2 linked regions of the Ovis aries genome follow. The protein of the gene in region 1 interacts with the protein of each later gene in a pairwise test. Links are inferred from orthologs where the notes say so. Each region holds a gene or a part of one and is shown on either strand. Other genes may lie near its edges. The genes, in order: AQR and ZNF830.

The links.
Region 2: the proteins of AQR (region 1) and ZNF830 interact in a two-hybrid assay, tested with the Homo sapiens proteins (2 studies listed by BioGRID and IntAct, with this or other methods). The link is inferred for Ovis aries from reciprocal best matches to the Homo sapiens genes AQR and ZNF830.

The regions. Positions count from the first base shown.
Region 1 is NC_056060.1:28,540,110-28,543,926, reverse strand, and holds part of AQR (RNA helicase aquarius), read left to right. Parts: intron 1-3,080; coding exon 3,081-3,392; 3' UTR 3,393-3,817.
Region 2 is NC_056064.1:14,834,174-14,838,674, reverse strand, and holds the start of ZNF830 (zinc finger protein 830), read left to right. Parts: upstream 1-1,474; 5' UTR 1,475-1,502; coding exon 1,503-2,624; 3' UTR 2,625-4,501. Other genes in the region: CCT6B (T-complex protein 1 subunit zeta-2), read right to left, coding at 1,175-1,311.

The sequences.
Region 1 (3,817 bases):
TGTAATCTGGCATATAATAAATTCCACATATCTAAAGTATCTAATATGATATGTCCTGGTGTTTGTATGTACCCATGACTATATTCGAGATAATGAACATATGCATTATCCTCCCTAGAGTTTTCCATGTACACCTGAATAATCCCTCTCATCCCTCACCAGTTCCTATTCCACCTTCTCCAGGAAACTGAGGATCTACTTTCTGTCACAATAATTAGTCACCATATTTTAGATGTTAATAGAAAGAGACTCAAACAACGTGTACTCTTTTTCCCCTACCTGTTATTGCTCAACATTATTTTAATATTCATTTGTACTTCAGAATGTATCAGTAGTCCTTTTCCTTTTATTGTTGAGTAAGTAATCCATTATACAGATATGCTAAGTTTACCCATGCATCATTGATGGACATTTGGGTTTGCCTCCAGTATTGGCTCTTATAAATAAAACTACTATGAACATTCTCCTACAAGTCTTTGTACCTTCTCTTTGGTAAATTTCTAGGAGTGGAATGGTTGGGTAGTATGGGAAGTATGTATTCGACTTCTTTTAGGAAACTGCCCACCTGTCTTACAAAGTTGTTGTCGTTGGTCAGTTGCTAAGTCGTATCCATCTCTGCAGCACTGTGGACTGCAGCTCGCCAGGCTTCCCTGTCCCTCACTGTCCTGTGGAGTTTGCTCAAACTCATGTCCGTTGAGTCAGTGATGCCATGCAACCATCTCATCCTCTGTCACCCTATTCTCCTCATGCCCTCAGTCTTCCCCAGCATCAGGGTCTTTTCTGATGAGTGGCTCTTCACATCAGGTGGCCAAAGTATTAGAACTTCAGCATCAGAGCTTCCAGTGAACATTCAGGGTTGATTTCCTTTAAGATTGACTGGTTTGATCTCCTTGCTATCCCAGGGACTCTCAAGAGTCTTCTGTAGCACCACAGTTCAATTCTTTGGCACTCAACCTTCTTTATGGTCCAACTTACATCCATACATGACTACTGGAAAAACCATAGCTTTGACTATATATAGTCTTACAGAATTGTACTATTTTATATTCCCACCAGCAGTGTGTGAGTGCTCACACATACCTATGCTTGGTCTTCTTTATTTTAGCATTCCAGTAGGTATGTAGTGGTCTCATTGTGGTTTTGATTAGCGTTTCTCTAATAACTGTTGATGACCATCTTTTCACGTGGTTATTTGCCTTCTGTATATCTTCTGTGAGGATGTGTCTGTTTAGATCTCTCACTCTTTGGGGTTGTTTTATTATTAAGGAGTTTTGAGAGTTTTAAATTTTAATCTGACTACAAGTTCCTCATCAGATGTTTGTTTTTACAAATATTTCCTAGTCTGTGACTTTTTTTTTTTTTTTTCATTTTTAGGTGTCTTTCAAGTCCCAGTATATCAAGTTGTTTCTTTGTGATTCATGCTTTTTATGTCCTAAAAGCATTTAGCATTACCCAAAGTTATGGTTTTATTCCAGTGTTTCATTCTAGAAGTTTTATAGTTTTTTTTTTAATATATTTATAAGTATGATACATTGTGAGTTAATTTATTTGGTGCAAGGGTTGAATTTTTCTCATTTGCATGTGAATATACAGTTGTTTCAACACCATTTCCTGAGGAGGCTGTTTTTTCCCTCTGTTCACCTGACTTTTTTTTTTTTTTTTGAGATTAAAAAAGCAATTTTTCAAATTGAGATCTAATTGACACTTAATTTTCTTTCAGGTGTATAAAATAATGATTTGAAATTTCTATTCATTGCAAAACAATCACCACAATAAATCTAGTTAATATCCTTCGCCACACTAAGTTACATGTTTCTTTTTTTTTTCTAATGTTGAGAACTTTTAAGATCTTACCTTGTGGTCTTAGTAGAAAAAAAAAAATTCATTGACTGTGTATGTGAGAGTCTTATTTTTGGGTTTCTGCCTTGCTCTATTGATCTTTGTGTCTTTCCTTTTGCCATTACACTATCTTTCTTAGAGTTTCTTTACAGTAAATATTGAAATTAGATAATATGAGTCCTGAAAATTCCCTTGGTGGTCCGGTGGTTAGGAAGGACACCACGCTTTCACTGCCAAGGGCACAGGTTCAATCACTGGTCAGGGAACTAAGATATTGCATGCCACACCTTACAGCCAAAATGATGATAATGGTAGTGTGACTCCTTCAGTTTTGTTGTTCTTTTCCAAAATGTTTTTGCCTATTCTAGTTCCTTTGCTTTTCCCTTTACATTTTTGAATCAGCCTATCTCTTTCAGTCCCTAGAAAAAAGCATGCTGAGGTTTTGATGAGGATTTTTGAGTGTTATTGCTTAGGATCAATTTGGGAGAAATTAACATAACAATAGTTAGTCTTCCTTCCCATGAGTATGATATCCCTCTCCACTATATTTAGGTCTTCTTTGAATTCTCTCATCGGCGTTTGGCAGCTTTCAGCCTGCAGCCTTCATACATATGTTGTTAGTTTTATCGCTAAGTATTTCACATTTTGTGCTCCCATTGTGAATATGCTTCTAAATTTTTTTCAGTTTCCAACAAGAGAAACAAAATTCCTAAAGAAAGAAGCCAAGCCTTAGCTCTAGAAAGGGAAGCCGGGTATATAGGGCTGCTCCAGTGCTCCGGTTAAGTGGGACAGAAGCCCTGTGCCTGCTGTTCTCTCCCAGCCTTGTCTCAAGGCTTGGTTCATCCTCACCCTCACAGCGCCCGTTGATTGAAGTGGGCCCTTTCTTGAGTTGGTGTGCCAGTCAGTCCTAATCAGCCACTCTTTTCCAGTGTTTATAATAAGTTCCTTCATGAAAAAATTTAATTGCTTTTGATATTGGTTTTTCTCCCCGAAGATTTAATATATATTATCTTCTTATTATCTGATATCTGTGTCAGCATATTCCATGGAATCAGCAAAACCTAGGCCATTATCATCAGAGTTGTTACCTCTGCAATATAAAACAGCCCTCAGTGTTTTGGAGCTTTCTAGAGTGACAGTATCTATTAGGAAGATAATGCGAGAGCCTAACTTTATAAGCCAGGTGGGTTTTTTTATTATTATTATTCATTAATGTTTCCCTCTTTTTTTTCCTTCATCAGACTTTATTACAGCTACCACCTGCTATGGTAGAAGAAAGTGAGGAAGTTCAAAGTCAGGAAACAGAATTGGAAACAGAAGAAGAGGCCATGCCTGCTCAAGCTGACGTTGTACCTGATAAAGCGACAGATGCCAGCTCCAGTCAGGAAACCTCAGCCTCTGAGACTGAAACCACCCCCGATCAGACCGGAGCCAGCTCCAGTCCAGAGGCTATTCCTGCTGAGTCTGAGATCCCTGGCACAGGACTGGTAACTGTACCAGCGGAGAATAACACCCCTCACAATGTCACATCCACTCCCAGAGAAACCGAGTAGCCAAGCTGTAGCCCTTCTTAGAGAGGACATTTCATTAACAAAGTCGTAGGTAAAGTTACTTCTTGTATTTTATATATGCTTCTGCCATTATAATGGCACTGGTGAATATTCAGTCCTTATTTTTGTTAGCTGATTGTCAATGTTTGTCTTCTTGGATATATTAAAAAAGAATGTATGTGTGTGAACAACTCCAATTTTATTTGTTCAATCAGAAGAGTGAATAACCATTCCTTTGCTATTTTGATCATTAACTATGTCTGTAATCATACCCACATTAGAAGAATTTTGTGTGGAATAGTAGTTCACATTTTTAGTGAACTTCTCTAAAAAAAAAGGATAAAATGTACTGGAATTAACCATAAATGACCTTAAGCAAGTATCCAAATTGGGGAGGAAATCATTTCTTCTATCATAGTGTGAGATGA
Region 2 (4,501 bases), on another chromosome or scaffold:
TCCCAATTTGGGGAATGTCTATTCCTTTCTACTTCTTCTACCAAGTGAGATCTTGTGGGAAAATCGTGTGGTTCCCTTAATAAATCATGTTTGATTTCGTTTCTGTTGGATTTATACCATTGGGCTTTCTTGGTCCTGAAGTTATTCTATCTAGACGGCCTTTACTCCCTTCTCTAACTGGTGAACTCTAATCCTCTTTCAAGATTGAGGAGAAATTCTATTATTTGAGAAGCTTTCCTTTCTCCCTTCTGTCATCAGTTATAATCCCTTTCCTCAGTACAATATATGCTAATACATATATGTGTGTGTGTGTATATATATATATAACCATTAGCACATTCATCTCTACCAGAACTCCTTAAGAACAGAAACTGTAGCTTGGTCATCTCTATATTCCCAGCATCCCAACTAGAAATAATCAGTGCCCTCTTTTACTGTTAATATTAATTACTCTGCTCATTCTTCTGAGACTGTATCTCTCCTGTTACACTTCATCATTGCCCTCACTAGTCTCTTCCCCTCACTCTTTTTTTCCTGGTCACACCACGCGGCGTGACGGATCTTTTAGTTCCCCCACCAGGGATCTAACCGCTCCCCCTGCAGTGGAAGCCGGGAGTCTTAACCAGCAGACAGCCAGGGAAGTCTTTTTCCCATCCCCACTCTCTTCTAAAGCAAATAATGGTCCTAAATAAATACATGCTAAAGGATGAACAGATATGATGAACCGTATGCACAGAGCTTTCAACTTGCCTAAGGACCTAAAATCTAAAGGAGAACTTGGATTTGAACCCAAGCCTGCCAAGCTCCAGAGCCCGAGCCCTCTCCACTACAGCACACTGCCAAACAAAACCCAAACTCTTTAAAGGCAAGAGAGCTAGAGAGCTTATGTTTCATTCCAGACACAGAATGAACTTTTAACTGCATATGAACCTAAACAAGAAGTTGGGGGTGGGGGCGGGGGGTGGTCGCCGCTTCACTCGTGAGCCCTTTCTTCGGGGAGCATTTCTCCTCCTCAACCAGGCAGGAGATGAACTCAGGGCAGGAATGAAAACGAGGGAAAGCAGGCCCACAAATGCGTCCACATCGCTCCAAACTGCGGAACCTCTGCCTCACAGGGCGCCCCGACGCCCAACAAACCCCGATGCCCTAACCGCCGCTCCAACGGCCGTCTCACATTTTCATGGTGCCCTTGGGACCCAAGTTGGTCCGCAACACATCCTGCAGCCCTCGGGCGGCGCATATATTGACGGCCAAGGCCGCCTGGGCTCGTGCCACCTCAGCCTTGGAGTTTATGGCCTTTATCGCAGCCATGAACAGAATATCGGTGAAGCGACCCTACAGGCAAAAATCGCCTGTTACTGAAGGGATATACGTTACTAAAGGAAATCTGGGCGCCACCGCTCACGTCCCGGAGCCTCAGCCAATCCGCGTCTGGACAGGAAGTCACGTCATCAGGCGTCGCCGGGACGGAAGCAAGGATCGCCTCCGGTCGGATCGCAAAGATGGCGTCGTCCGCCTCAGCTCGGCCTGCCGCGGGGAAGCGAGTGGTGAATCAGGACGAACTGAGGCGGTTGATGAAGGAGAAACAGCGTCTGAGCACCAACCGGAAACGGATAGAATCTCCATTCGCGAAGTACAACCGCTTGGGGCAGCTGAGTTGTGCCCTGTGTAACACTCCGGTTAAGAGCGAGCTCCTGTGGCAGACTCACGTCCTGGGAAAGCAGCACCGAGAGAAAGTGGCCGAGCTGAAAGGCGCGAAGGAAGCAGCCCAGGGCCCGTCCGCCACCGCAGTGCCTCAGTCCACCAAGAGGAAGGCGCCGGACTCTGAGAGCCAAGATGCCAAAAGAGCGAAGGCCTCCCTGGTTCCTCAGGTACAGCCCTCCACGTCCGCTTTGCCCACCAACTTCGACAAAGCCGGGAAGGAGTCCACTAGGGCGACCGTCGGTAAGGCTTCGGGACTCGGTTTACTCCCTGATTATGATGACGAGGAGGACGAGGAAGAGGAGGAGGGAGGAGGAAGAGGAGAAGGGAAGAAGGGGGATGCCTGTAAGCAGCCGTCCAATTCACAGAGCAAGGAACACTCACTCTCTTCCTCGCGGGAGGCAACTGGTAGTAGGCTGCCAAGCAATTTCTCGGATACAAATCCTCCCAAGGCCCCTTTAATCCCTCATTCCGGGTCAATTGAGAAAGCAGAAATACATGAAAAAGTAGTGGAAAGGAGAGAAAACACTGCGGAAGCATTACCGGAAGGGTTTTTTGACGACCCTGAGATAGATGCGAGGGTACGAAAGGTTGATGCCCCAAAGGACCAGATGGACAAAGAATGGGACGAATTTCAAAAAGCTATGAGACAGGTCAACACTATTTCCGAAGCCATAGTTGCCGAAGAGGATGAGGAGGGACGGTTGGACCGACAGATTGGGGAGATCGATGAGCAGATTGAGTGTTACCGTCGAGTGGAGAAGCTGCGGAATCGCCAGGATGAAATAAAAAATAAGCTTAAAGAGGTTCTGACCATAAAAGAACTGCAGAAAAAGGAAGAGGAGAATGTTGACAGCGATGACGAGGGGGAACTACAGGATTTATTGTCTCAGGATTGGAGAGTGAAGGGAGCTTTGTTATAGGGTTTCAGAGACCCACGATTTTGTACTGTTGTGTAGAAAGTGCTGTCTCAGTACAGTACCCTTTACTCCATGCTTAGAGACTTGGTAACCTAACTGGATTGTTGAGATACAATGAGCCTGCGAAGAGACCACTTTGGAAAATTGGTGTAAAATATTTTTGAGGTAGAGGTGTTTTTGAAGTATTACATACTTAAATGCCAGTTTTTTCACACACTTATATAGCTAAAGTTTGGGTTGTAAAAACTGTAAATGTTGTACATACTAAATATATATTTACTTAAGAATTCTGGTTTGAAATTTATAAATTAATAGAAGTCAGACTAACAGACAAGCATTTAAATGAAAACCAAGTGTGGCGTTTGCGGTATATATGACTTGTTCTTTTCCAACTCCCTAAATCAAATTCAAGGTTATTTTGTTGTTTTTAAGAACACTGCTCATGAATAACAAGTTATTCAGAACTAATTAGTTCTCTGTTTTATAAAACCATGTTCCAAGAGAACATAGTGAAAAATACATGCCAAGCATGATCAACTACCTTAATCCAGAGTTTCTGTATTAAACCAGTAATTCTTGGTTGTAGGTGCACATGAAAATTTCATGCAAAGTTTTTTAAAAAGTGTACGTGAATCATGTGTGAAGCTTTTTTTAAAATTCATGTGCCCCTACCATTGAAGAGATTCAGTAAAGCTAGAGTGGGGCTCAGACACCTGTATTAGTTTTGATAGCTTCCCAGCTTCTGTGAGAATTCCCAAATGGTCCAGTGGTCAGGGGTCTGCACTTCCACTGCAACCGGCGCCGGTTCAATCTCTGGTACCCTAATCAGGAAACTAAGATCCGGGAAAGCTGTGAGGCTTGGCCAAAAAAAAAAGCAAGCTTCCCATTATTCTAATAAGGCTAAAATTCGGGCACCACTGTGCTAAATCCAGAACACATTTACATTTTCCCAGCCTTTTATTTCTTTAAATGACAAATCCCACAAGTTTACTGTCGCATAACAGAAATACTATGTTTTATGTATATTCCACCTAATCTTAGATTTTATTGTTAAATATTGTGGTAAATTAGGGTTCAGAGTTAACAGGTTCTATCAGTTGTAAGAAGGAGGTAATAGCTAAGACTTTCTTTCAGTATAAGCCAGGCAGAGTTCTAAGTGATTTATATAAGCTCAGTCTGATTTCCCTGAAGCCCAGGTTTTAGGTCCAGGGTTAAGGTATGAAAAAGCCTTGAATGTTGAACAAAAGAATTCTTCCTACAGACACTGGGCAAAAAGAAAGTTTTCAAGCCAAGAGTTACATCTGCAGAAAATACGGAAGATTATTTTAGTTGCAGTATATAGAATGGAATGAACATGGGTAGGGGGCAGGAAGCTGGGAAACTACTTGGAAACTAGACTTTAAAAGCAAAGCAACTAAGACTAACTAGGTATGTACTGAAAAAAAGGTAATAGAATTAAAGAATTTCATAGGAAGAGCTAACATCTTAGTGACTAGAAGTGAAGAACAATAGAAATACAGATGGAATTCAGGGGTTTGGAGTTTTTCTAGTATGGGTGCCTGTAAGAAGTTATCTAAATGCTTCCAGAGCATTTTAATTGTCCTATGCCTTTGGCAAAAAGGCTTTGCTTTCCTGATGTGTCCCGCTGATCTGACAGTAACTTCAGTTTGATAATGTAAAGGGTATGTCTGCATCAAATATATGAACCCAGACTTAGAATTTTTTTATCATTTATCATATTATTTCAGGATGTGAGACAGTACAAGGTGGGGCTTGAAGGGTGGGCTCACTTCTACACGGGCCTAAGAGAGTGGGCTAATGATCTAGAGGGGCGCTGTATATTAAAACTAATTCAAGGGACTTCCCTGGTGGTCCAGGGG